Astyanax mexicanus: one gene and its partners. The protein of the gene in region 1 purifies or fractionates together with the protein of each later gene. This does not show direct contact. Links are inferred from orthologs where the notes say so. Each region holds a gene or a part of one and is shown in the gene's direction. Other genes may lie near its edges.

What was found.
Region 2: the proteins of DDB1- and CUL4-associated factor 1 (region 1) and cep78 purify together in Homo sapiens (affinity purification with western blotting; 3 studies listed by BioGRID, with this or other methods). This does not show direct contact. The link is inferred for Astyanax mexicanus from reciprocal best matches to the Homo sapiens genes DCAF1 and CEP78.
Region 3: the proteins of DDB1- and CUL4-associated factor 1 (region 1) and dyrk2 purify together in Homo sapiens (affinity purification with western blotting; 5 studies listed by BioGRID and IntAct, with this or other methods). This does not show direct contact. The link is inferred for Astyanax mexicanus from reciprocal best matches to the Homo sapiens genes DCAF1 and DYRK2.
Region 4: the proteins of DDB1- and CUL4-associated factor 1 (region 1) and cops3 purify together in Homo sapiens (affinity purification with mass spectrometry; 5 studies listed by BioGRID, with this or other methods). This does not show direct contact. The link is inferred for Astyanax mexicanus from reciprocal best matches to the Homo sapiens genes DCAF1 and COPS3.

The regions. Positions count from the first base shown.
Region 1 is NC_064419.1:10,125,695-10,133,351, reverse strand, and holds the start of DDB1- and CUL4-associated factor 1, read left to right. Parts: upstream 1-4,611; 5' UTR 4,612-4,668; coding exon 4,669-4,708; intron 4,709-7,404; exon of another isoform or gene 7,405-7,632; intron 7,633-7,657. UniProt on the Homo sapiens protein: Acts both as a substrate recognition component of E3 ubiquitin-protein ligase complexes and as an atypical serine/threonine-protein kinase, playing key roles in various processes such as cell cycle, telomerase regulation and histone modification.
Region 2 is NC_064419.1:22,911,076-22,918,797, forward strand, and holds the start of cep78 (centrosomal protein of 78 kDa), read left to right. Parts: upstream 1-4,689; 5' UTR 4,690-5,393; coding exon 5,394-5,646; intron 5,647-6,191; coding exon 6,192-6,364; intron 6,365-6,449; coding exon 6,450-6,522; intron 6,523-6,618; coding exon 6,619-6,722; intron 6,723-7,330; coding exon 7,331-7,505; intron 7,506-7,722. Other genes in the region: gna14a (guanine nucleotide-binding protein subunit alpha-14), read right to left, coding at 154-274. UniProt on the Homo sapiens protein: Centriole wall protein that localizes to mature centrioles and regulates centriole and cilia biogenesis. Involved in centrosome duplication: required for efficient PLK4 centrosomal localization and PLK4-induced overduplication of centrioles.
Region 3 is NC_064409.1:11,632,291-11,639,573, forward strand, and holds the start of dyrk2 (dual specificity tyrosine-phosphorylation-regulated kinase 2), read left to right. Parts: upstream 1-4,168; 5' UTR 4,169-4,500; coding exon 4,501-4,540; exon of another isoform or gene 4,541-4,607; intron 4,608-4,625; exon of another isoform or gene 4,626-4,725; intron 4,726-5,865; coding exon 5,866-5,993; intron 5,994-7,283. UniProt on the Homo sapiens protein: Serine/threonine-protein kinase involved in the regulation of the mitotic cell cycle, cell proliferation, apoptosis, organization of the cytoskeleton and neurite outgrowth. Functions in part via its role in ubiquitin-dependent proteasomal protein degradation.
Region 4 is NC_064422.1:7,821,687-7,829,057, forward strand, and holds the start of cops3 (COP9 signalosome complex subunit 3), read left to right. Parts: upstream 1-4,011; 5' UTR 4,012-4,138; coding exon 4,139-4,193; intron 4,194-5,971; coding exon 5,972-6,101; intron 6,102-7,371. UniProt on the Homo sapiens protein: Component of the COP9 signalosome complex (CSN), a complex involved in various cellular and developmental processes.

The DNA.
Region 1 (7,657 bases):
ATCGTGGGAGCCAGGGGATTTCTTCTAAAAACAGTTAGAAAACCTTTTTTTTTTATAGCAAGAACTAGTAGAATTTATTAACCTGGTTAGTGAAGTTAGCAAGTTTAAACAGATACAATATCACATATTGTGTGATAGATATTTATCAGTGTTTTTGATTAGTCGTAATGGGTCATAATCATGAAAAACAAGGTTTTAAAAATTCCACAGTTACGTTTCTTATCCAGTAAAATAGAAAAACTGAGCCTGGAGCGGTTGAGAATTTGGAACGTGGCGAGAAGATTGTATATCCACAACTGACGGACATTAAAAAGACAAAAAAAAGAGAGAGAGAGAGAGAAAATGTTAACAGAAGACCTTAAAAACATAAGAATGTATCTTTACTTCCCGCCTTTACCACAGTGTTGCAAGCACAGGCCTTAGACACAGACATTAGACTGAAGACTTTATTCATTTACGTGTGTGAATACGCTTGCCACTCCTTTTTGAATCTCTGTAATGTTGAATGGTGTTTTAACTGTTTCTTCTGTGAACACTGGTCACATGCAGGTGAACCCTCTTACAGCCTACTACGATACAGGATAAAGGGAACTAGTCCCGATCAAAGAAATGTGTGAAATGTGTGAAAGTTTTTTTTCTTTTTTTTAAATTACTTGGGAATAGAGTGGCGACTGATACAAAGAACGTACACTAAACACTGATGCCTTGTGCTGCTGTCTCACTGAATGTATTGGTGAGGGTTGCAGGGTTCAGGAGCACTGCTCCTAATGCCTACATCTCACTCCAAGTCTTACTCAAGCTGAGCTAAGATGTGCAGACTTTGCCTAGTCTCTTTATGTGGGTCACTGTCTCCTGTAATACTCCTGTAATTTTTCACCCCAACCTTTCCCGCTTCTGACACTTCAGTGGCTGAAACGTCACAACGCTTCTTCCATAATGTATGAAAATGAATTGAGTCAAACCAAAATCAAATGATAAAATGACGTCAAATGTGTGCCAAAACAATCAAGTTTCCCAAATAGAGTATGCTCTTAAAGATGAACACTATAATTGGAATGGACTTCCAAGCACTTCCAGGTGGAGCAACAGTCTAAGTGCTATGTTCAAAAGCATAAGTGGCCTTGACGTAACAGAATAGGCCATTAGTGTTCTCCTCCAAGTGTGTTGAGCTGTCCAGTTCTTTAAGCATATGCGTAACTGGCTTGGCATGACCCTGAGGTAGCAATCTAGCTTTTACCCTCTTAATTTATGTGTATTTTAGGGGCTAAATACCTAAGTACCCTCAAAAATGCTACTTCACAATTGCAAAAACTGAAATCACAAGAAAATAACCATTTAAACACATTTATCTTTAAGAGTGTATAATTTCCATTAAACCAAATCCACCAAATTTCATTCCAGTATCCAGCAACCAAGGATATAATCAGACAACTCGCTTCTTGTCTGGTTGTAAATTTGGGAGAATTCCACAAGTCATCTGATTTTTGACACCAAATATGAGCACTGCTTGTGCACAAACGGTACTATACAGTAAACTGTATACTGCTGACACCATCTCGCCTCATTTCTGTATCCATACGTGGCATTGATCTGCTTTATTTACAGACAATGTACCGCTCAGGCCCACCCGTACCCCACACTGCTCTGCTACTCTCCCTGCTTTTCTTTTTTAGCGGGGCGAAACGCTGACGTCCCCTGCGCTCGAAGCAGATTGGACAACTGTTCCAGAAACATCTGAATCGTACATTATCGCGTCTCTCTTATCTCTCTTTTTTTCCAATATGTAATCATTCTTTGCGTACGGAATAAACGTACCTGTTTTTATTCTTTTTCTTTGCCATTTGTCAGTTTACCAAATTAATTTATTTATAACAATGTGTATTTATTTGTTTGTATTTTTTATTTTTGTACATTTTTGTTTTTATGAGGGGCTCACGTTCTCGCAGAAAGATGCCTCAGCTGTAAACGATTGAAGGGATGTGTGTGTGTGTGTGTGTGTGTGCGTGTGTGTGTGTGTGTGTGTGTGTGTGTGTGTGTGTGTGTGTGTTTGTGTGGGTGTGCGTGTGTGCGTGTATGTGTGTGTGTATGACTGCCACCTGGCTAAAGCATGTGAAAGCTTATGGACCAATGAACAAGGGTCAGTTGTGGTCAGTGCGGTTACTTGTATTTCCAGAGTAAAGCAGTGACCTAGGCCGACAGCTCTACCATGTTCCCAGAGCGTCACGGCTGAGATGTGAACGATGCCCCAGCGTTCCATGTCCTTTGCTTACTACTCTTTACTTGAATCGAGGTATTTATTGATGTTGTTCGAGAAAAGGCTGGGTGTGAGGAGCAGATCTGTGTTCTGTTCATTAAGGTGAAATGGTCAGATGTACAGATCAATCTGAAAGCACTCAAATCAAACTGACCTGATTTTTCTCTGATTTTTCTTTTTTTGAACTTTTTTTTTTTTAAGTTTGTAAATAAAACTGAATCATGGTAAATACATATTTTGTTTGTTGTTTGTATGTTTGTTTACTTATCCAAATCAGTGTCTGGTAGACACCCACCTGAAGGCCAGGCATATTTCAACAAGACAATGCAAAACCACAAGCCAAACAAATGAAAAATGTATGTATGTGAAAGAAGAGGTTAAAATACGTTGATAAATGAACACCTGAAACAATTCATTGCTACATTATAGTCCGGTACCACTTTAAAATAAGACTACCTTTATAAAGGGTTTATAAATGTTTTACAATTAGTTTATTAATGGTTAATAATTAAGTTGTACATGCCTTAAAAGTCATTAATAATCTGTTACAACACATACGTAAAAGGACAACAATGACCTGTTTTTTGTCCAATAGTGAACTCACAGCCATCTATATTGTTGCCCTTTCTACGTATGTGTTATAACTGATTATTAATGATTTTTAAGGCATTTACAACCTAATTAGTAACTATTAATAAACTAATTGTAAACATTTATAAACCCTTTATGAAGGTAGTCTTATTTTAAAGTGGTACCCAAAGTTCTAACTTGGAATGTGTTCCTGAAGGCCTAAAGTGCAGAAATGGATGATGTACAGTACAGGCCAGAAGGTTTGGGAACACCTTATCTTTTTCAATGTGTTTTCTTTATTTTCAAGACTATTTACATTGTAGATTCTCACTGAAGGCATCAAAACTATGAATAAACACATTTAACTTTTTTATTTAACAAAAAAGTTAAATAACTAAAAAAAATTATATTCTATTTTCTTAAAAATAGAATGTTGCACTGTTAGCACTGCTGAATGTGCTAAGATCGATGTAGAACATTATTAACATTAACTAATTAAGACACTAAAAATTAGTTTAAAATCATTAAAGGTTGTTAACGTACACTTGACTTGGCTGTACTAATTGTACCCATTCTAAGTCTAAGGGCGTTTTCACACCTGTAGTTGGTTTCTCTGGTCCGAATCAGTTAATGAGTTTGTTTACTTGGAGCGTTTTCTTGCTCTGTTCAGTCTGGTTTCACACAGGCATAAATGTAAACGCACCAAAATGCGCATCAATAAACCACGCGAGCAGCCTGTGTCCTCTGATTGGTCAGAACTGTCTGACACGGGAGTACGTTAAATATAAATATACGAAAAAGTAAATACAGCGAGAAGATCTTGTGTTCCAGCACAAAATCTGTGCTTTAACACTGAACGCTGAAACGCTGCACTTTCAAACACAGTGTTTCTACGTGCAGCACAGATTTATACATAATAAACAGAGTCACGCGACTGTGAGCAGTGAATGCAGCGCAGATTTATACATAATAAACAGAGCAGTGAATGCAGCGCGTGCATGGACACAGTGTTTGTTCACAGCTGTGGTAATTAGTGTTATCTGGCTAATATATCAGTTTAAACTGTGCTTGCTTTATCAGCAGTTTAGCTCAAATAAATGGCTTATATTTAATAGCTGGATCCGATCGAGACCGGATCACGTTCTCACCACAAGCGAACCGCTCCAGAGTTCGTTTGTTACCGGACCGAGACCACCTCCTCTAGCTGGTCTCGGTCCGGTTCTTTTGATCCGCACCCGAGTGCGATTACTGTTTTCACACCGGCTCAATCGAACCGCACTAAAGTTACAAACGGACCAGAGTTCGTTTTAACCGGACCAAATAGTGCTGGTGTGAAAACGCCCTAAGTGTAATTAGTTTCATGTGTGCATTCACTGTGGAGCTCTACCTCACTCTACCTTTAGCCCAGTTTTGTCACCACAGGCTGCAAATGTAAAGCGCTAGTTCCCTCTGTTGCTGCATATGGGTAACGTAGCTTATGTTTGCTGTTATTCAAGGTGTTATAGCAGCTTTTTTATCACATTATCACAATAATAATGGAAATACGTAATCATTTATCATACGTCCATATTAGAAAAATGAACCCATACCTATAGCCAAGAGCTAGTAGTAAGTAGCGAGTGTTCTTTATTAAGAGAGAGTAAGTAAGTCAAGTAATGTGTGAGGTGAACCATCTCAGACCTACTGTAGCTCCTGTATCTCCACACCCTCTCCCACAGCAGCTTCAGCTGAGTGATTAAGATTATCTCTGAACTCCAGCTCTCACTAGTCAACAATGTTGAGCTTTACTCTGCGGGACTCTATGGGACTCCAGCTCTCACTACAATTACAGCAAACCTTAGAAAATGATATTACGGATACGATTCCGGCCTCCCAGAAGACCAGGTGAGCTCAGTCTGTCTGTCTGTCTGTCTTATACTGTTTATTCAGTTTTATTCTAACAGCCGAACCGACACCTAGGGTTGGCACCATTCAGAAATGAAAATAAGGGATGCCCACCGCAGCAAAAAAATCCTGTAAAGTAAAAATATAAATATATAATTATAAATTTGATTTGATATTTATAAACTAAATAAATGTTTAACATTTTAACATTCTCTTTTAGATTTTATAAATTGATATATACATTTCTATAAAAATATAAACATTTTGAGACAAAATATACAGAAAGCTCTACAAACCTTTTTTTTACTAGGAATTTTTATTTTAATCTGTTAGTATGAATTGCTCCTTAAATTAATATAGAAAATATTTATATTGTATAATATTACTGTATATTAAACATATTATCATTCATTTAACTTTACCTTAAAATCTTAAACAATCTATCAAATGTTCCATGCACTGATATCTTCGGGCGGTTCTGCTGATCCGGTTCTGTTCATTTAAACAGGCGAACCGATTCACACAGACTCCAGATCCACATTAAAAAATGTTATTTATTACAGGGATGGTTCAAAACATTTTGCACCCAAGGATGAAAATAAAATAGTAGCTTTTATAGATTTATTTTGAGCTTGAAACAGTTAAATTAATAAAATAGGTATACGTAACAATAATAAATGAATTAATCAGAAATAAATTGACCCATACTTTTTATCCGCTGTCTTATCTATGCTTTATTAATTTTATCAATGATGTTTTGTAAATAAATGTAATGTATTTCTTTCCTAACCTCACTGGAAACTAAGAACATGCGCATTCACACGACACGTCAACCAACGAGTCTTTGAATCAGTTGATTCAATATGACAAAGAATCGGTTCAGTATACAGGCTGTATTCAAAATGACTCTGCGTCCTCTGTAGGGTAAATATGTAGTGTACTTTATTATGTGTACTTTTTTATTTGTTATTAAATTACAGCTTTAGCATGCAAATATTGCAACATATATTTTAATATAGCCAGTAGTTAAAGAACTTTTAATTGACATTGTACATGTGTAAAATATATAGATATCACAATACAACGGTATGTAGCCACAAATAAAGAAAGAATGTTTTTTTTTTTTTTCAAAAGTTGTGGAAACGTTTTATTAAGCTGTAGAAACGAGATACTTAAGTCCTGGCCATATACATTTTCCCCATGACTTTCCCCACGAATTATCTCATTCCCAACCCTTATTAAGTCATCCGCAAAATGTAATTATCATGTTCCCAGGTTTTCATAAGTCGTGACCACACATTATTATTTATTTTTTTGACATGGTGTTACCAAAGGGGCTCTTTTAATTTCACAATATTTTATTTTATAAAACATAATGAAGATAGAAATTTGACATAAGTCACTTTCCACTAAAATTGACATCATTAAAGTTGACAAGAACATGGGGACAGACATAAAATAATTTTAATGACTAAAACTAGATATAATATGAAAAAATATACTATATAGAATTGATTTGAACTGTTAATAGAGTAATTGCAAAAAAATAATAATTTGTCGAATTCAAGTTGTATATATATATAAGCACCTGGAGACAGTCTAATGCAACTAATGTGATGGCAGTGGCAGTCTTTAGTTCATCATTTGTGCATAAACTGTGCCACAAATACATATTATTTTAATTATATTATATTTAATTATGTAATTTTAAGTGTTTATCTGGGATATTTGAGACTTTTACATCTTTATTACAAACTACATATTCAAAAAACTAGAGCAAAGCTTAGCAAATTTTAGTTTAAAGATGTTTAATTATTTATATATTGAAATATGCCTTTATTTTCTCATCACTGAACAATTTTGTTTCAGTGTTGCATATATAATTTTTTAACTCCAGTTATGGTTAGAAATTTTGAACCCAAGTCCCGCATCAGCACACAAACCAATCAGCGCACAGTAGTAGCAAAAACGCTACCGGCTTTACTGCCTAAACTCCGTTTAGGGTAGAAAAATAAAAACGTATAAGTAATAATTTTCTGCTTTTTCCTTTGCTTTATAAAATTCAAGGAAAAACCTGAACAAGTAGTTTTTATTTACTTATGCTTTTAGCCATTTAGCTCCATTCACCCCAATTTATTCTGGTCTCTCTCGCGGGCTACCTCTTGCGGTTGACATCTTTTCTGATATAACAGGGAGAGGAGACAGGTTCTGCATTAACTGGTGTTCTGTCGAGTTGTGCTACCCATCGACATGTGCTACTTAGTGGCTCTGAAACTCTAATTTTCACTGTTTTGTGTAGTATTTTTTCATGATATATTTTTTATCGGGTGCATTGTACAATCTGCCTCACAGTCATCGTTTACTTGAGTGTTACAACCGTGTAAAAAAGTAATTAAAATATGATTAAAAAATACATATACATACATTTTAATCACCCTATATTGCCTTTCATTTATCCTGATGCAGCGATTTAGGCTATGCTTAATATCATACCGACACTTCTACTGCATGCAGCATGTTCTAATAGGTTGTATTATTACAGTAAAACACACACTAGGGTAGCACGGTTTGACAGGGTAGCACAACTCGACAGAACACCGTCTCTGCTCAAACATCGCTGTTTTTTAAGGCGTCGCGAGAGCCGACCAATCCGCGGCCTGTGTTCACCGCGCAAACGAAAACAACGCCTGCATCATTAAAGGCCGACAGCGGTCGCCCGTACCGTGACGCCGGGAACGTGGTCGCCATGATCAGCTTCATGCTCGCGGCTGTGTGGAGGTAAACGGTCTGACAAAGCCGCGCTCAGAGCCCGAGAGAGAGCCAGAGCGGAGCCGCGGCGCCGCAGCGCTCAGCCCGCCTGACTGCAGCCGCCCGGGTACAGCGGGAGTGAAGGGAGCCGGGCGCGGGACTGGGGCAGGACTGAGGTGAGCCCCGCTGGCTAACGTACAG
Region 2 (7,722 bases), about 13 Mb from region 1:
TTAACAGGTAACGTTATTTTAACAGGTACATAACAGCATTGATACTTCAGCTACACTTTTAAACCTAAGCTCCAAATGTACAAGTTTTCTCATTTTTTTTACGTCAGAATTAACCTAGCTAGTTTACTAGCCAACTTAGGTGCCTTCACTTACCTAACAGCAGCAGCTTCAGCTCCCTTCTAGAGTCCTTCTTATCTCGTCGAAGCTGTTTGTCTATCTCCTGATTAATCCTCTGACACTCTTTCTCCTCCGCTGACATGCAACACCCAGCCATGGTCTCCCGCTTTCCCCGCAAGACTTTGAATTTTCTGCTGAAAACCACAAACGCGGTGTCCGTTTCTGAGGTAAAATTTGCGTTAACTGACTAGCTAACCTAGCTGCGTTAGCGTAAGCTAATTGTAACGGTCGCTTTTCGCTTCTAAAAGCTATGCAGTCCTGTAAAAAACTCCTCACAGTGGCGTCTCGTCGGTCTTTAACTTTTTTCACTTTAAATTACGAAAAAATGTCCTATTTCTGAAGGGAAGTGTGTTTTCTAACATCATAAGATCAAGTTTCCACCTGTTTCCCCTCAGTTTCTGCTTTACTCCCTTTAGCTATCGAAGATGAAGACCAACGGACTAAGTGGGCATCCTGGTGCCTCCCGCCTTTAAAACTCGCCTCGTGCCCATCCCTTATCTCCACCCGCATTCGGGCAAGCCCCGCCCCTTACGCATCAATTGGTCAAGATTTCACGCTTACAGGCTTATCTTCGCTGCAATTGGATAGGCTGACAGTTTGGTAACTCATGTCAGCCAATCACAGCGCAGATGGGGAGGGTTTGTATTAATATGGTTGGAAAAAAGCAGCACCTGTCTAGGAATCAGCCTGGGTTCTATTTTTTTTACACATACACAATCATTTACAGCTCTGGAAACAATTAAGAGACCACTCCAATTTCTAAATTAATTTCACTGATTTTGCTGTTTATAGGTATATGTTTGAGTAAAATGAACATTGTTACAAGCTTAGAGTAGCTTAATAATAGGCTATTTATTAAAAACACTGTTTATACACACAGTATCTTGAGGTAGTTCTCTGGACCATCTTGAAATCAAGTCACAATAAGTCTACTAATGAGCACAGAAGAATAGGTAGGATAAGAGAACAGATTGCGAAATTAATTTCATGGAAAGCATGAATATTATTTAGCACACCCACCTTAAAGTATGGTGTGAAAAAACAGTAATTTTAATAAACTATCTGTGCACTTTTAAATTTCTCAGTGCCTCGTTTTAAATGTCAGGACCCTCTGAATTCTACCAATGAAGTGTGGAGCTACCTTGAGCTTGTTAACCCTCCTGTTATGTTACAGGTCAATATGACACATTTTAAAGTTGAGGATCTAGGAAAAATAGTTAAAAGTATTTTTTCAGTATGAAACTTCTTCTGCTTGCCATAATCAGTGTAATCAACATATAATATGAAAATGGTTCATCTCACATATTTGCAACCACCCCCTGCAAAAACTAAAACAAAAGTGCAATATTATGTTTCAATGTTATGTAAAACTGTTGTGTTTTGTATGTTGGTTTTTCAAAATTAATAATGTAGTAAAACATAAAAAAAATGATTTTTTTTACGAAAAATGAATGAATTATCCTAATTGAACTATTAGGTAAAGAAGACCATTGCACTTAATATTGCTAGAATAATTCACAATGGAGTTGGTAATGAAATATTCACACTGCATGTTAGGATTTTTTTTGGTTTCAGACACCATTGCTGTTCCTGACAAATTAACATAACAGGAGGGTTAATGGTGTAAATTCATTTCATTTTCTTCTATGCACCTATCGCTAGTATTATAGGCCTGTTGGTAGCATCAGCTAAAAGCACTGAATTTTGGAATGCTGAGGGCAAATGGAAATGGGCCATTAGACAAAAGTTCATACTTGTCACTACACCCAAAGTCCATTTCACACTTGATTTCTTCTATAAAGTGCACCCATTGCTGACACATATGTGAATGAAATGAACACACAGAAATGCACACACAGCTTGTCCAGTCTTTGTTGAAAAGTACTGCCAATAGGATAGGACTCTCCTGGAGCAGACTGGAGCGGTACCAATTGACCATACCTCTATACTTAATACAGGCTGTATTCTTTAAAATGATGATGATGTATCTAATATTTTGGAGATGAATTGGGGGGTTGAGGTGTGGTGGTTTTCATCCAACATCCTTTCCATACTAATACTATTGTGTCTGAATGCAATCAAATCCTCACCATTATGTTCCGCAATCTAGAAAAAAAGTTCTTCCCTATACAGCAGAGACAGATAATTCAACAAAAGCATGATAAACTCATTTTTATACTCTTTAGGACAAATGCGTTGCTAAGTAAAAAGTGATGCTATGTTTACTTTATTTATTTATTTATATTTTAGGTTAGCATATTGAAGAAAGGAAAAATACAAAAAGTGACATATGCAAAAGGTATGGCATTCTTTAATAATTTAATCAATATTTTAAAGACTTTTTTTGTTTCAAACCTGTTTTGTATTGTTATGTAATAGTTTGGTGTTTGGTGAGCTTGATGAGGGAGAGGGTGCCTTTAAGGATGATTGTGCATAGGGGCCTGTTAAGACTATGATTCAACTCTGGTTTCATTCAAAACAGCAAGGCACAGATTTGCAACTGCTTTCCAAGTAAAAGTAGATTTTTCTGAAGAACAGATTGAAAGTAAATAAGAGCGCAGCCTCTAATTTCCATGTTATGAAACCAGGGCACAATTCTAAAAGAATTCAGCAAGGCCTCATTTGGTTAGATTATTTTTCAATTACAATGAAAAGGCGATTAAAACATACTTGGAACATACTAAGAAAGGCCTGGAGAGTCTTCTTTGTTTTTCGTTGTCAAGCAGTTCCTGTGAAAATGAATTTATTTCATTAAATTGAAAAATGAATTTAAAATGAATGTCACCAATTTGCTGATTTGAGAAGAGATTTCTAATCAAAAAAACTCTTTTTTTTACATCAATTGTGTCTTTTAAGTGTGATGTGCGTGACAGTTAGATTGGGTCAAAATGATTTTTATTTCAGTAATTGTTTTTTTTTTTTACCTAGTTATTTGAATTACAGGTATATCATTTTATTTGTTGGTAATTGTTTATCCAAAAGCCTTTTGTTGACTTGAATTGTGCACAGTTTCAATGTTTGTTTAAATATATTAATGTAAATAAATATCCACATTTGGGAATATTTGATATATTCCCATTTGGGGATATTTTAAGACATTTGGTATATTAAAAAACATTTTTTACATTATTTGAAGAGTTACTCTGGTAATGTATTACAAGTATAATAAAAAAAACACCTCTATTGACAGGGTTTCTTTTACTATATTCCAACAATATATTCTATATATACCATTTATGTTGACATAGGCCCTCCCTTATTTTTATATGGTTGCCCTAATAAAGTTTCTTATAGTTAAGGCTTTTGACTACAAAAAAAAAATCATATTTTAACTTTACTTTTTATTTTCAATTATGCAAATATTTTTAACTGTTTACCACAATATGATGGGAAATATTAAATAAAATTGTTGAACATGCAGCAAGTGTCTTCAGACATTTAAAGAGTAGCTTTCCCAAGATGATAGAGTAGTTTAAAAAGCTTGATATTTGTATGAGAATAGCTAAAATAATTCATAAGCAACATCTGCACATATTGCATATATTGGAAAACAGTGATCTTTATTACGATCAATAACTGCCTTCTGAGTGAGACAGTGTGGGCAGCAAGACAGCCAGTCAACATTTCATGCGTTTAAGACAAGAGATGCTCACAAGTCTTTTTTGCAAGTATAAGTTTCAAGTCTTTGGTCACGAGTCCAAGTCAAGTCTCAATTCTTTGTTGGGTGAGACTTAGTCAAGTCTGAAGTCTTTGTGGGGTGAGACCTTGACAAGTCTTTGGTCACGAGTCCAAGTCAAGTCTTTAGTATTTGAGGGGTGAGAGTTGAACAAATCTTGAGTGTGTAGGGTGAGACTTGGTCAAGTCTTAGGTCTTTGTGGTGTGAGACTTGGTTAGGTCTCAAGTCTTTGGTCACGAGTCCAAGTCAAGTCTTGAGTGATTGTGGGGTGAGAGTTAAACAAATCTTGAGTATTTGTGGGGTGAGAGTTAAACAAATCTTGTGTATTTATGGGGTGAGAGTTGAACAAATCTTGAGTATTTATGGGGTGAGAGTTGAACAAATCTTGAGTATGTAGGGTGAAACTTGGTTAGGTCTCAAGTCTTTGTGAGGTGAGACCTGGACAAGTCTTTTGTCACGAGTCTAGTCGAGTCTAAAGTCTTTTTTGGGTGAGAGTTAAACAAATCTTGAGTATAGGTGGGGTGGTGTTGAACAAATCTTGAGTATTTGTGGGGTGAGAGTTGAACAAATCTTGAGTATATGTGGGGTGAGAGTTGAACAAATCTTGAGTATATGTGGTGAGACTTGGTAAAGTCTCAAGTCTGTGTGGTGTGAGACTTGGTCAGGTTTTAAGTCTTAATGGTGTGAGACTTGCTCAAGTCTTAAGTCTTTGTAGGGTGAGACTTGCTCAAAATCGAAGGCTAAGATAACTTAACTTCAATTCAGTCTTGACCTGGGCGCCTTTCTGCCTCAGAATCCTTACTGAATAGGCAGAATCGCTTGATTCATGTGGATTAATTCAGACACAGGCTGTGTGTGTAGTTCTCCTGTCCGCTAGCCGGCGGTAGGAGCTGCTGTAGCTCTCTCCTCTTCTCCCTGAAGAACGAGGTGTTCATGTTTTCAAACAGCAGCCGCGGATCCACTTCTACACCAACCTGCACCCTCCCTCCCTCTCTCTCCCTGGAGGCGGTTGGTGGGGATACAGCAACAACAAACAGCGGAGATAACGGCACCAGTATTGCTAACTGGCTCCAAAAACGGCTCCAAAAACCTTCCTGCGGGCGATTAATTCAGTTAAATTAGAGCAACATCTGTAGACGCTCTTTAGATCGGATCTGAGCTGAACAGTGGCCGCTGTTAGGCTAGTAATCAGCAACCAGCTAGTTAGCTAGCTAACATAACTAGCTTAGTGCATTGGTTTATTTTGACAGATTCGACCATCTACAGTAAAGTAGGTTAGTTAGCATAGTTAGATAGTCAGCTTTACAGTGGCGAAGACTGAGACTATTAGCTTAACTAGCTAGCCAACGCTATAGCTGTGAGTAATTACTGTATAACTACGCTAGCTAGTTAGCTAGTTAGGTTAACTAACTATCTACAGCGTTAAAGCGCTATAGCTAGGTTAGCTGCTGTAGCTGTAGGCCAGTTTCTCCTCGGGTAAATTTAGTTGTCCAGGTTAGTTAGCTAAGCTAAGCTAGGTTAGTTAGTTAGATGTGTAGAGATGCTGGGCTCTGCTCAGTCGAGGCGCAGAGGAGCTCAGGACTTTGCTGCCTGCTATGATTCAGCTTGTGCTGCTCAAGGCTCGGCTCCAGTGCCCGCAGTCAAGTCCAGCTTAAGTCAAGGAGTTTTGGACTTTAATGGAGATGTTATCAGTCTCTCAGACTGGACGCCTATACTCTCATCTCTGGTCATAAACAAGCATTTACACACTGTGACCATCAGGAGCTCCTATCTCAGCACACTGGGATCACAGGGTGAGTCCTTCTAGTTAAAATGATGTACTGTTAATGCTAGGTACTGTGCATAGGAGTGTGTGATATGGTTAGAATATTTATATCATTATATTTAAGGACATTTTCCGGATGTACAGAACCTACCACAGTATTTTGATCCACAAACGAACTGTTTACAACTGCTATTCAAACACTATCCCATAGTTAGGATATTAGCTCAGTAGTACACCAATATAAATATACAGCGCTGGAAAAAAGTGACCACTTTAAAACTGCAAAAACTGCAAAACTGCAAAAACTTGTTTGGTATTCAATATTATTAATTGACCAAATAATTAACTTTGTTTGGTTTTATTTAGGATTCTTTGTAACAACTGTAAAAAAAGGGAAATATGCATTAAAATCTGTTGGATTCCATAACTACATAAATAAGACATTTGAATTTGGCCATGCTTTTCAGCAGGATATGCTATATGTGAATCAACCAACATATTATGGATAACACACTGTTTTTGAAAAGTGGACAGTATGTATTTTTGCTCAGCTGATGGTTTCACACCTTTCAGCTTCTTCCAGCAAGGCTACCAGCAGAAAGAAGACCCCAGCGATCCATTCCAAGAGTATGACCCTTCAGCTCTGCAAAGCTGTGCAGAGATGCTTGTGTGCTTCACCCAGTCTAAAGACCCTCCAGCTTCATGGGCTTCCGTTAAGAGAGAAAGACCTCAACATACTCACAAAGGTAGAGAAAAGGCACCAAAAGACAAAAGGTTTATTGTGAAATAAGAACAATGCATGCTGATTCTTTGGTTCTGTTTTCTGATCAGGGTTTGTCTAAAAGTGCCTCCTTAGAGCACCTGTCTTTGGCACGCTGCCCTATTGCAGATGATGGGCTTGAAGGTAAGTAAATTAGAATGATCCTTGAGCATCATCAGAATGCTTTAACTTTAGTTTTGTTTATAATAGGACATCTGTATTGTTTCTTTGTGCTTTCAGTTATCTGTCAGAGTGTTAAGTACTCCTCGACAATCAGGACTGTGGATTTTACATCTTGTAATATTACCTGGCAGGGTGCGGCGCACATGGCAAACATAATCAAGGTAAGTTAAGGTCTGTTTACCGGTGTGATGTATGGGATTAGACTGGAAATAAATAAAAAAATCCAGAAAAAAAATCATGGTGTTAAGATTTTGTGAAAATTGGTCTTTAATTAAAAAAAGGTCTTTATTTGAAAAAATTGTCTTTGTTTACTCCTGGGGCTCTCCTTATAGTTGCAGAGAATAATATACTTTTACACCACTGCAGTAAATACAAATCACTCTCTGCGCTCTACCTCATTGACAACTGTACACATGTATTTGTTGACAAGCTGAAGGCTGGCTACTGAAATGAAATAATACAGTAAGGTCTGTGGCAAGGAATAATATTATAAGATTTTACACAAATATGACTAAGCATCATTATAAAGGTCTCATGCAGCTCAACTAAAGTTTCAGAAAGTACAAAAATAGAATTACAGCCTGGAGTGGAAATGATAGAGACACAATTTCCTCTATTACAAGTCACTGGAAAATCACAATGATTTTGAAGATTTTATTTAAAGCAAAAGTGCTGCATTATGTTTCTTGGTTGTTGTATATTCGTTTTTTACATATGGATAGATATGTATATATCTGTCAATTTTATATTATTGGCTTGTTTCGAGCAGCATCAAGCAGTGAGGCGTCATGGCACAGCATGGGCGGAGTCTCTACGGTACAGAAAGGCAGAGTTTGAGGCGATGAGTGGGCTACGCAGAATCACACTTAATGACAATATCCTAATCGGGGACAGAGGAGTGGCAGCGATTGCTGAGGAACTGGCAGAGGACTTGTGGGTCAAAGGTGAGAGAACATGAGATGTCATGGATCTAAGGCTATATGTGGATTTTGGGTCGAAATTAGCAGACATTTATTGATACTAATGTTCTCATAAAAAAAAAAACATGTTGAAATGGAACTTTAATGGAACCAACTGAAGGAAGGACGCACCGAAATTAAAAACTGACCAAAATGAAACATTTGGCCAAAGGATAAAATATCCTAAATGTATTTTGGTCTG
Region 3 (7,283 bases), on another chromosome or scaffold:
CTGATCAAGTGATATACCCGGTTGGTTATAAGGTAGGTATTACCTTGTGTACCTTCAGCAAAAAACAAAAAATGCATTACTGATTTCTCCTTGCTTTAATGTAGAACTTCCAATACTGCCCACGTCACGTGGAAACCATCCATCCGCTTAATGAGGCTAATATGGATGAGACCCAAATAACAATATGTCTAAAGAGCCCTGTAACGTTATTAGCCCTCACTAAAACAATGCTGAGCAGAAGTGTCAGCAGAAGGAAAGGGAAAAACAACACAGCCTGTGTTTGGAGCTTCTCAGACAGCCCCACTGACTCATCCCCTAAAGATCAGATGTTCCCTGAGAGAGAGAGCGAGGACAGGCAGAGGGAACAAACAGAGAGGAGGCCTTGAGAAAGCAGGCTTGCGATCACCTATAGAAAGAAAAACAAATCACATTATGAACTGAACCATTATGTCATACAAATAGGTTACGCCCTTTGGTCCAATAAAGCAGAGTCAGCACATCAATGCCTTTATAACGACATGACGTGTTTCTGAAATGGTGACTTTTTATGAGAATAGGTTTAAATTTTTATTTTTTAAATTAATTTCTATAATATTTATATATATACAACAGTTAAACTCTGTGTTGTATATGTGGTTAATCTGTGACAGGAACAGTGAAGGGACAAGCTGTGTAAAATGATGATATTGTTGTTATGTAGCGGAATGTAAACATTGGTTAATGTTACAATGAAGCTACAATTTTATTATGTTTTAAATGTTAAAAATCATCAGGAATGGTTTTCTCTAGGGCTGCAACGATTAGTCGATATAATCGACAGTATCAATTATTTAAATTTGTTGACTACAAATGTCATTGTTGACTAATCATTAATTTGTAACATTACCACATTACACAAAGCGCTGGAGACAGAAGCTCAATGGTTTACAAACAACTAAGTCTGTGTCTCCTAAAATGCCCAAACTCAACAGATTACATATTTAATCACTTAATATTACTAATTTCCATGTTTTAACAACAACTAGACATTTAAATGCCATGTTCAGCTGTTTCTATTCTATGTTTTTAGAGATAGAGGACATGGCAGACATAATCGTTGACTAATCGACTGATCAAAAAAATAACCATCAGATTAGTCGACTACCAGAATCGTTAGTTTTCACATCATAAAACTAATCTTTAAATCTTTGGCATTGTATATAATTTATGTGGACAAAAGTATCGGGACGTCTGACCAATTCATTCGCGTTTTTCCTGGAATCAACAGTATTTAAAAAAAGTTTATCTACAGCCCATGGTAGGTTTTCTAGTAGATTTTAAAGCATTGCTTGATTATTTGATTAGTCAGAATATTGGATGATTCCCAACCTCATCCCAAGAATATTGGTTGGAGCACAATCATTTCAGAGAACACTGCACCTCTGCTCCACAGCTCAGTGCCTGGGAGGCCTGGCATTAGGCAAGGTGCCAATAGGGCTATGTTCTGACGAGTCTTTTCTTTTTGCAATACTGCTGTACAGTATATATAGGAATAGAGTAGCTTTGTGTGTGTGTGTGTGTGTGTGTGTGTGTGCATTTACACATCATTTAAACGGCAATGTATACTATGTACCTAACATGAATTTGAATGGTTTGGACTCTGGTTTGGCCTATTTGGTGTAAAAACTAACCATATTTATGAATTATTTAGTTTGCAAAACAGTAATAATGTATTTAATTAGGGATTATTTGACTGTATAACACTATCTGGGTATTGAGTGGAGTACTCCACAGCATCTAACACCTACTTCAGCATGTCTATCACAACTATGCATGTCCATTCACAGCTTTTAGGCTGTTTGGCAGTTTCACACACTGATGTGCCTCAGTGAAAAGGTTTCGGTCAGACCCTTGCTGATAGCCCATTATCACAAGCTACAGGGCAATGATGTGAGGCTGACATGGGCTCAGTTATTACGTGTGCTGGTGGAAATGGCTCACTGGGCTATCGTGGCTCAATTCCTCACATATTTCCTGGACATACTTCTTAGTAACCGCGGTGACAAATGCCGTGACAACCGTCCCAGCATGTTTTGCTCCCAGCTGAACGCAGTCTGACACACGGACCAACATGTGGCCTCTTGTTGGAATAGTGAGGAGCTGTATGTGATGACTGCCCTGCCATTCTCACAGGACTGCATTGTACATGTCTACATATCTCTAGTTGGTGCCAGAAGATATATAGATATCTCTGCAGCAACCCACTGCCCACTGGTGTATTTGGACCATAGACTTTAGTTACCTCATAAACCTGAAGCACCTTCTATCTCAAAAGGCTCTTATAGACGTTGTTGTGCAAAAAGTATGTCTCTACTGTACATTTTTACTTTTGTTCACTTTTTGAAACTTAGTAAAGAACAACTGCCAGATTCACACTGTGTCAAAGCTGCAGTGAATAACTATATATGATTAATTTAAGATTTTTTGGTCAGAAATCTGTTATTTTTCCTTCATGAATTAAGAAATATAAGTCAAAATAAAACACACTTTACTCTTTTAAGTAAAGTTTTTTAGTAAAATAGAAAGAATAACTGATTTCTTACATAATTTTCGATATATTGTCCCTTTGCAAGGGATCATGATAAATAGATTTATGCTCCAAACTCACTTAAAATAAAATGTGTTTACACTGACTTTAATTAAAAATTAAATACGTTCTCACTTCTCCTGTAAGGTTGCCACTAAGCTATGATGTATTTAACATACTTTGATAAAGTTTATGCACCATTCACTCTTGTTAATTCATTTACTCCATTTATTGAAATTAAGCTATAAAATAGACAATCATGAATTTACTGCATTTGTGATGTCATAAAAATAAACAATATCTGAAAATTCAGGCTAAAAAGTAATTATGCCTATTTTGCACATTTGCCTACACAAAAATCAGTTGAGAGCCTTAAGGGAAAAACTAAACAATGGCAACATTAATGACAACAAAATGCAGATACGTTCATAAAAGTAAAAGCAAGACACATCCAAAAGTTTGCAATTTCAGTTGCATTTATTACTGTGATATAACTTGTGTAAGAACAGACAAGACAATGGATTTCAGTGTTCCATTCAGTGTCTGAAAGTCCCAGTTACAGCACTTGTGTGCACTGATGCTGTCAGTGATTTTTTTTGTATATACACTCCAAGACATGAAGACAGGGAAAGCCTAAGAAGCAGGCCTGAAGCTTGAGCTTCTCTCCACCCTCTAGTGGACAGTGATTACATGCATGCATGTGGCAGTTTTAATGTCCAGGCTGGACTAAACTGTGGAAATAACCCGGGGTACACGTGTGTGTAAATTACATATCTGGAGATGTGGAGCCTAGATGTTTCTGCAAGTCTGCAAGAAATGTAAACATACATTGACGTCTGGAAATATGCCTGGTTTTGTCCCTGGGAAAAAAGCAGGACAAACTACTCTCATGAGTTTTTTGCACTGCTAGCATTATTACTGTTTTAAGCATATACACAGCTCTGGAAAAAATAAATGAGGCCACTTCAGTTTCTGAATCAGTTTGTCAGATTTTGCTCTTTATAGGTATATGTTTGAGTAAAATTAACAGTGTTGTTTTATTCTATACACTACAGAAATAACAAAAGAGATGCAGAGCTTTCAGACCTCAAATAATGCAAAAACAAGTTCATATTCATAAAGTTTTAAGAGTTCAGAAATCAATATTTGGTGGAATAACCCTGGTTTTTGGTCCCAATTTTCAAGCATCTTGGCATGTTCTCCTCCGCCAGTTTTATACACTGCTTTTGGATAACTTTATGCCACGCCTGGTGCAAAAATTCAAGCAGTTTAGCTTGATTTGGTGGCTTGTCATTATCCATTTTCCTCTTGATTATATTCCAGTGTTTTTCAAATAGGTAAAATCAAAGAAACTCAACATTTTAAGTGTTTTTTTTTCAGAGCTGTATAAACACTCACTGCAGCATGCCTAGCTCAGCTCATCTGTGTGTGATCACAGAGTGTGTTAATGTGAGCCACCTTAAAAAAAAAAACTGCACCCACTATACTTGACTATGTTAACTAGGTTAATAGCTGGCATGCTAACTACGTCCCTGCTGCACTCCGGCTGGGGGCTGAGGGCTGAGGGTGGGGGAAGGTGAATAGGACGATAGATAAGCCAGGCAACACCCATACAGCGCTCACTCACTCACTGACAGAGCTTTCCCCAAAGAGAGCCGCCCGGTAGAGGAGGCGGCGTGAACTAACATGCGGCGGGGAACTTCGAGGCGTGAGGCTGAGGGTGCAGCAGTGTGGAGCCGCGGCTCTGGCAGGGCGTCTCTTCCGAGCGATGGTAACCCAACTTGGGCTTGTGTTTGAGGAAGCTGCGCCCGTTGAGAATGCGAGACTGGATGTAGCTGATTGGAGTAGCAGAGTTGGTGGTGATCGCCCAGCGGAGGGGGAGGAGTGGGTTTTTCGAGTGGGTTTTTTTCCCTGTGTGTGACTCTCCAGCGGCCATGTTAACCAAGAAGCCCTGCGCTGCTGTCTACCCGACTGGTAAGGAGGCTAAAGTCCGGATTCGGGGAGGCGAAAAGCCATAACGGTAGTGAAACGCGGACACCCGGTTAGCTGAATGGCCGCACTGCACGCTGGACTGTTTATACGGATTTATAGCTAACGCTGTGGCTGTTAAAGCCGGGCAGTTTCTCTGCGTTTGATTTGCCTCTCTGTTGGAGAATGAGGTGGTAGATTAAAGACTACTGTAACCTAACTAGCTAGCTAACTAGCTTATTAGCTGGCTGTGCGGTGTAGCCATGCTCCGTCTTGAGCAGTGGAAGGCTGTTTAAAATTTTTATTGTATTTTTGTATATCAGTCAAAGACGTTGAATAATCAGCGAATGGTAGCTAGGTTAGTTAGCTTAGCCTGCTAGCTAACTGGTAACCAAACGTTTAGAACGAGAGCCGTAGCATAATTTACCCTATCTATCTTAACTATGCTAACCTAGCAAGCTCACTGTCTGTTAGTGCTGTTTCTATACGTAAAGGAGGCTAACGATAAATAATGTACATTTTCGTTTGTTAGGTCCTTTTAAAACGATTTTCTGTGATACTTACAAATCTCACTGTCCTGCCATTCATTTCTTTATTAAATAAACATAGAAGTTAAATAGTAAGCTGTTATTTAAATGCATCCAGATTTTACCCTGTTGATTGGTTTAGCTAAGCTAAGCTACATAACGTAGGTCACTGTAACGTTTAACGCTAGCTATCAGTTTAATTTTCTCGCTATATTAGCTAGAAAACTGTTTGTAAAACGTAATTATTGCCATTTGTCCTATTTACTAGCTAAAAAGATAAGTTTTAGTCATTTTTGTAGCTAACCTTGTCTTTATTTCCGCCTTTTAAAATTATTATTTTTTTAATTCATGGAGAATGAATAAATGCATATATAGCTAAGTTACTAAATTCTCTTATTTTTATTTATTTTCATCATGTAACATAAGCTTGGCTAGGTAGTAGGTTGAATTATATCATTAAATTGGACGAGAGAAAATATTTTTTTAGTAAATTCAGGATGTGGTTTAGATATTAAAAAAATAATAGACATTTTCTCTTCGCTAAATAAAAAGAAAACAATTAAATAATTAAGTTTTACACCCTTCATTTCTATTTTAGGCTCGAACTGTCTAAAAATTAACTGATAAACGGTAACGTTACACTGACCATATAGCCACTCTGAATCTGTGTAGGTTACTGAATCTGTGGTTTATGGTTATTAGCCTATGACACACAGCCAGCCAGCGCCTCAGTCGAGTTAAATGCTGTTTTTAACTAGATTTTAAGCTAGATATCTAGCTAAATATTGTGTTTTTGCATTGTAGGCAAGGGGGGTGAAATTTGCCAGCAGCAGCAGTCTTCCCCCGGGATCAGCGTCGGGGCTCTCCGGGCAGGGACTGATCCGACATCGCCCGTCACTTTACCTCCTCTCAGGAACACCAACTCGCTTACGGTACGACAAAACACTGCATGTTACACCACAGTGATTTACAGTCATTTCCTAACCGGATTTTTATCCTAGTGAGCCCAGAAGAATGTTTTAACACTTGGTCTTTAAAGAGCCAGCATGTCCGAAAACCTACCGTTTACAAGTAACGTTACAGTGTATTCCACTACAAATTACAAGATACAGCTACTGCATAATACTGCTGTAATAACATTGTTGTAACCTAACAGTTTGGACACTTACTATAGCTTATAACTACCTACAATTCCTGGTGTGGTGCATTGTAGTACACTATGGTAAGATATAGTAAGAGTGTACCTTTCAAATAAGATTTGGTGCAAATGCTTGAATATATGTTCAAAATACCTTGCTATCTGTAGCTAATGCAGATCACACATCATTGTACAATGACTTGGAAATAATGCACTGATCTGGCACAGATCTCTAATAAACTATCATGTGCACATCTCTCAATTCCAATACACTTAGCTATATAAGCACTGGTGATTAGTCCACTTTGATTAGCATTCTGAAGGATTACAAATGCAGTTTTAGCACAGTAGGCCAGCTTCACTTAACCACCCTGCATATATTGTCATGACTTTAATATCAGTTTGTTTTTGCATACTGCACTAAATCCAATAAAACATGGCTATAAAATGTTTGATGCTCTTTTGAAATTGCTCATGCAGTTGGTCAACCTTAAAGTATGAGTAGTATCCATGATATGCAAAGAAAATATATTATAATGTTATATTATAATTCTAGTATTATCTTGGCGCTTTGGAATATAAACCACCTTTAAACCTTATTATTCTTACTGTTGGACACACAGTGCACTGTTTATATATGCATATAGACATTATTTCATGATCATTATAGTGTAATTCCTACAAATTAGTCATTTGAGATTCAGTCTCTGTTTAATTGCTGAATGCTGAGCAAGCAGTTTGGGTGTGCATGGGTGTTATGTGAGGTGTAAGTTCCAGTTTTGGTTGTGAGGCGTGTGCTTCTGCTGCTTGCTTGCTTTACTCAGTGACCTCATCTCGACTTGGGCTATTAGTGTAGATCTGGTTAGTGTGGGGAACAGCCTGCCTCAGGAACCGGGTGGAAGCCAAATACAGTGATTATAAATACAAGCCATGAGGGCTCTCGCAGAATCTGACGGAGAAATAGAGATAGGGGCTCATGCTGTGTGGTCTGTTTGTATAACATGTACCTGGGCTAGGTTTAGTATTTTGCAAAACGTGCATTAATACCGATGTGAATAGTAGGTTTGTTTACTGTCACTGGTAA
Region 4 (7,371 bases), on another chromosome or scaffold:
ACCCAACTGCCTCATTTTACATTACAATTACAGACCTGTATTACATATCTCTGAACAGTTAACACCCCTCACCCCCCACCACATATACATGTATCCACCCACCCATCCCCCCCAGATTCAAGCCGCTAAATGTACTCAGCAGGCCCACTGTAAATTAGGAAAATAGGTGTTTCTTACATTTACTCTGACTTTTATTTGAATGCAGGCAGTATGAAGATATTTAATGTTTTACTTGCTCAACTTTCTGTTTCATTAATTAGTATACATCAATTCCTGCATTTCAGGCCTCCAACACATTCCAATAAATTCCAAAAAAAGACAGAAAAGCATTTACCCCTTCTTAATGGTGTAATTTATTTTCCATAACACTTAAAATACATTTGAGGACTAAGAATAATTTCCACACATTTCCTCCTTTTGGGGACAGGATAGGTCAGGACTGCAGGCAGGCCAGTCTAGTACCCGTACCCTCTTCTTCCACGGCCATGCCTTTGTAATGAGTGCATCATGTGGTTTTACATTGTCTTGTTGAAAAAAAAAAAAAAAAAAAACCTTGGAACCTTGTCATTAATGCTGCAATCACAGAAATATACTACTACAACCCCCTTACCATGACAGACTCTGACCTGCTGCTGATAACAGATTTGCTGATACAGGCATGTAAATTCCTCTCAAAGTCCAATATACAGCTCTGAAAAAATTAAGAGACCAGAGGGATAAATTTTAAGTAAAATGAACATTGTTGTTTTATTCTAGAAACTATTTAAACATGTCTCCCAATTTCCAAAAAAAAATATTGTCATTGACAGCTTTTTTTTAGAAAAATGGCTGAAATAACAAAAAAGATGCAGAGCTTTCAGACCACAAACAATGCAAAAGAAAACAAGTTCATATTCATAAAGTTTTAAAAGTTCAGAAATCAATATTTGGTGGAATAACCCTGGTCTTTAATTACAGTTTCCATGCATCTTGGCATGTTCTCCTCCACCAGTCTTGCACACTGCTTTTGTATAACTTTATACCACTCCTGGTGCAAAAATTAAGCAGTTCAACTTAGTTTGATGGCCTGTGATCATCCATGTTCCTCTTGATTATAATCTCGAGGTTTTCAGTTTGAAACTCATCAATTTTATGTGGTTTCTTATTTTTTTAGAGCTGTATATTGTATATTTCTGATGACCATTTGTTTGACCACAAGGAGAGATGATACCATTTAAAACAGTACAGACGGAAACACGATATTAACGCTGATATTCAGAGCCGGACGTGACGACACAGCGACTGTGAAAAAGGTCTATTAAACTTTAGTTTATAAAGCTAGCTTTAGCTAGTTAGCCTTCTGTTTATTGAGCTGAAATGCTAGCTAACTGCTGTCTATACCATGACAAGGTCAGGGGGCGTATTTTCCCCTTTTATTAAAGAAAAAAGAGACGGTTATAACCACAGTATTATGATTAGCTAACTAGCTAGCTAGCTAGGTTAACTAGGTTATTTAGTGTGTAAAGCATTAAGGCATCAAGGCAGCATTTCCTGCGTTTCAGATACACCCAAACGTGCCATGACTGGCTGACTGTAGGTTAGTTAGTATCTGGGCTCTGATTCTGGACTGAAAAGACTGAGCTTTAGTGTATTAGCTTTATATAGCTTTGAATAGAGAAGCACTCACCCCGGTTCTTTCTCCCGGAGCTGCCGCTGCCCCGCCGCCCCGCTGACCCGTCGTCCTCGCGCTGCTCTGCGTCTCCGTCAGTTAGTCAGCTGGCGCCTGCAGGCAGCCCCTCTGTAGCAGCTCCGCTGTAGTGTTGTGCTGTGTGCACGAGCGCGCCCTTTATTTGTTTTTAAAGAACTAGCTACAACATTTGGTCCCCCACCCCATCTCTTCACCCCGACCCCCCCATCTTCCTCTAAAAGCCCGTATGTGCAAGCATGTGTGCTCCACTGCTGCAGCTCGAGCACTACTCTTCTAACACGTGCAAATGAGCAGGACAAATGAAGCATTCACACACGCTTTCACACCTTTACGCACATACTCACACCTGCACACACCTTTACGCACATACTCACACTTGCACACATTTTTACGCACATACTAAACACTTGCACACACCTTTACGCACATGCACATGCAGACCCTCACACCTGTGAACGCCTGTCCAGCTGTGCACTCGGTCTGGACGCCCTCCGGCTCACTTCTACACACACAAATGGTGTGAAAACAATCACATTCATTACTCTGTAGGTAGAGGTATAGATACTAGGGTTAATACTACTGTACAATTTTAAGTATCAACTCAAGCTAAAATTCGGAAATTGAATCAACGTTAATTTGATGTTTTTTGAGTGGTTGTGCTCTTCTACGCACAATTAACATTAATAATAGTTATTATTTACAATTTGTCTGCTTTGTTTACACACATTTTCCAAAAGCATACCTCATTCTCTCAGTACTCTACACACAAATCAAGCAAACACATACACAACAGGCATAACCTTTCAATTCTCTCGCAAAATACAATTTTACATTCAACACAATGTTATCTCTTCTAATAATGGTGTTTTGTGTTCAGATGACACATACAAACCATAATAGGAATATACATTTATAAGAATCAGTTAAACACTGATAAGCTCAATGTAAAACATTATGATGAATAAAAACACTTCTCTATTCACAATAATGACATTTTTTTAAAACATTGTTTTTATACTCAGAACACACAGTACACAGTAAAAATCTATATTTTATAAAATATCTATTTTATTTTCCCATAAAAACAAGGTACACAGTGTACATCCCAACCAACATACAGTTGCATGTACAGTGGTCTACATACAAATACAAAAGCAAAATAATAATTTACTGTATACAGTTACTGTACAGCCATGAAAAGAAATTGTACAACTAATACAATACTGTAAAAACTGTGTAGGAACACAAAGTTTGAATACATTTTCCAAATAATTGAAACATACTTTCTGTCCTACAGAACAGTCGAATACAAACACCCAACATGTTATTAACCCAACAAGTCATTACACCACTGTTATAACATAGTTAACACTTTACTATGTTCTGTATAACACTGATATAATACAGTTATAAACAAGAAAACTCCAGAAACTCCTTCAAGATGCTAAGAAAACTATTCGAGGTGACTCTCCCTTATGGGGACACTGAGATTAAGTGTGCAGATCTGTCCTCAAACATTTTTTTTTACTAAATTTTTACTTTTGATTATTTTAATTTGAACACAAAACATTTCTGTATGTGTTTCTGTATAGCTTTGATGTCTTTAAAATAAAAAAGTAAAAATCATAAAAAGAAAGAAAACACCTGGTACTGTAATGGTGTAATAAATTCTTTACAAGCTGCTGTAAAACACAGATATAATTATGTAATAAACTTTATACAGTGCTTATTTTGTGCCACTGTTTAAAGTTTAGTAACATCTCTACAATGCACCACAATTTAACTTCCAAACAACATCTAAACTAGGGGACATAAATGGAGCTAAATACAGGGCAAACATGGAAGAAAATCTGCTGGAGACTGAAGACTGTCCACCAAGACACTTATGTGCATTGTGTTGGTCTATCACTGAAAATCTCAATAAAAGACATTTAAGTTTGTGGTTATAAGATGACAAAATGTGAAAAAGTTCAAGGGGTATGAATACTTTTGGAAGCCACTGTATGAGTATATGTTTTATGTTTTTTAAGTTACATATTTATATATTTTTGTGTTAATGTATTTGTATTTTTATGCTATTTAAGATGTACTAAAAATATCCCTATACATAAAAAATAAATATATTAAAAAATGTCTATAATAAAAAACTTTGTTTCCTGTACAGGATATTAAAGTTAGTAAATTGTTAGTTAAATGTTTCTGATCGCCGTTTTTAGCGGAAAAAATTAAAAATAAAAGTTTTGTTAAACACTGGAGACTTTTATCGTTTGTTTTTGATCCTTCTCTCAAATCTCGCGGGATCTGTGGCTTATGAGCGCAGATCTCGCGATAGCAGTGTTGTGTTGGTGGCGGCCTCCGCGGCGCTTCACCGTGACTTGTGTTCCTGAGCAGCAGCCTCTCATACTTGAATGAAAAGCGGCGAGAGAGCGCTCGTTACCCCGCTGCAGAGTCATGGCTTCCGCGCTGGAGCAGTTCGTGAATAATGTGCGGCAGCTGTCTGCACAAGGTACGCACCCGTTCGGAGAGATGGAGCGAGTTTAGCCAGGTCTGCTAGCGGCGGCGGACGAGGCTTAATCGAACTATCCGTTCCACCTTAAATAGCGAGGCTGTAGACTGCATCTACATTCTCGCGCCTCGATTCCGGACTGTAACTGCCGCCACATTTAAGGTGGAATGGAGAATTCGAACTAGCAGCTTCTTGGTCTCACTTCACTTATTTCCACACTCTTTAACTAACCTTTAACTAAACACACATGTAATTTGAACCGCCTTTAAACTCTTCTTAAACCACCAAACGCAAACAAATGTTGATTTAACCCGAATTCCCCTCGCTTTTGTGTTTATAAACACAGCTAGCTAGATAGCTAATGCTACTGCTAGTTATGTCTATTAGGTGCTAGCTGACTGACTAGCCAAACACAGTGAGTGCAGCTAACTTTAGCGCACCTTAGCGCTTTAACTGGCTCACAGACTCTCAGAGAAACTTGGTAAATAATAGATTAGCTACATTAGACAAGTGTTTGAGATATTATTAGACAAGTTAAGTGTTTTAATTTGAGACAAATAAGCTGCTTTACTGAGTTAGATAACCTATCCATTAGATTAGGGCTGGACGATATGACTGAAATGTCATATCACGATATGGTCAAGATATATCGAAATCCTTAACAGAATATAATGTATATATAGTTCATGTATAATGTGTTTTCTTTCTGTTAATGATTTTTTGACATTGTAAATTTAATATAGAAGAATATTGATTACAGGAACACACGCAGAATTATTTTGCAATCAAAGTGTTAAACAAACCAGAATATCATTATATATATATATATATATATATATATATATATAATTATATCAGTATATTGGTTATACAACATATGCTGATGTATGTATTGTGTGCTGGAATAGGACCAAGTAACACTGGCCGTGCTACGTTAAAATACTATTTAAAATGCTATTTTATTTTACTTTGTTTAGTGCATCGCATTTACAAATAATTTATAAGTATACACTGACTTTGGAGACGACCAATTTTTAATAATGAACATTATTGATTAGTTGACTAATCATTGCATCCATAATTTGCAACAATGTAAACGTTGAGCTAGATATTTTGAGCTGTAAATATGAGTGTTACTAAGTAACCTATAAAACTGCTTATAAGACTGCTTCGAAAAGCAATACATATATTATGACTTATTCTATATTTACATGTTCCTGTTTCTGTATTTAATTATGTTCTTATTATTAACTGATTTTAAGATTTAATATATTCACACTTCAGTTTAGTAGTTAATTTTAGTGAAGCATCTGCTCGATGGTGAACATTACATCCATAATTATACATTATACCATTTTATTCCTGATTCATGTCTGATCCTTTGTTTTTACCACTGTGTTATGTTCTCTAGTTGTAATTAACGCATTTTATGAAGCCTGCAGCAGTGAGGAGCATTTTACAAAGCTCTTTACACTCCAGATGTGTGTGTTCTGTATGTAAACACACTCCCACCACATTCTTATTCTGCTTTAGAAACTAAACTACGGTTAAATGTTTTTTTTTGTTTTTTTTTTTTTTTTACAAGCAGAAAATCCACACTCTTTTATTTTTACTTTAAAGTGACACTTTAAGGACTGGCCACAAACAACCCACCCCACATACATACACACACACACACACACACACACACACACACTTTAGCTGTCTTGTTTAGAGCTCTGTGTAACTGATTCTGTTATCAAATATATCTGTCTCGTCTTTCTGTCTGTCACTCTTAGGTCAGATGACTCAGCTATGTGAGCTGATCAACAAGAGTGGAGAGCTGCTGGCCAAGAACCTCTCCCACCTAGACACGGTGCTGGGAGCGTTGGACATCCAGGAGCACTCTCTGGGCGTGCTGGCTGTGCTGTGAGTGCTGTTCCAGGATCAGTGCAGACTGATTTATTAAGTGCTAAATCTGAAGCTAAGCATCCCCTTCTTTTTAAGATGCTATTAATCATACATGGACCCTGGTGTCAAAGATAAATTATTATTATAAACCGAGTCTTTACTAAAGTAAAACTAGTATTTAAAACCAAATTGAATTTGTTTGAATCTGTAATGCAATTACAACAGTGTTCCCAGCACATTTAGAGAATTGCCCACACCCATTGCAATTTCTCAAAGGGCGTGTTAATGAGCTAATTAGCTGATTCAGGTGTGTTAGGAGAAGGTAAAATTTGCATGATTGGGAAACCTGTAAACTAGGGGTGGGAATCTGCGATGCGGTTATAAAACAATTATTAATGCATCCTAATGCATTTTCTTCTTCTATACAGGATTTCTTTGTTTTATTGCATGACTGCTTGGTCATTTTAAAGTAAAGAATTTGTAATGATCCATAATAAATCCCACTTTTTAGTAGGCTCTTTGACACCATTTTTATTTACTTAAAAAAACATAGTTATTTCCTTTGATCAGATGATAGGATTAATGTTGTTAGGGTAATGGTTAGGCAAGCTTCAGCCACAATATTAAACCAGGAAAATAGAAACAAGAAGGTGATTATAATGTTATGACTTATGCTTGTTTTAATATTGTGTCTGATATGTGTTGGATTTGCATATGAATAAAATGTAAAGTATGTAACAGAAAGTTACACATTATAATAGACTTTGTAATATTTATATATACATAAGAATGGGATCCCAGATTGGCTTACCTAATAATTAAATTCAAATAAATTTGAGTTTTTCTTCTAATAATAATAATAATACCACAAGGACAACAATATTAATAATTATAATGGTAAGCACAAGCATCATTTGTTTAAAGTTATTAAACAACGTTTAAAATATTTAAAATGTAGAGAAAAATGAAATGGAAATTAATATAGTGTTATTTAAAGCAGATTTATATATAAATAAAGTGCTTTAGCTATATTTAAGAAAAATAATTACGCAGTTCCTAGTTCTGCCTTTTGCATCCTGTTATCTTTACGCTTTTTGATATAGCGTGTAGAAAAGCGATTTTTGAATTGAATTGATTCAGTATTGTATACGTCTAAATCAAGACATATCTAAGAATCAGAAATTTCCCCACCCCTACTGGAAACCCTGAGTTTGAGCAAGTTATGTTTTTGAGTGTGATTGTTTCTGTAGTAGCTGCTCATTCGCAGGAACTGTTCTACAGAGGCTTC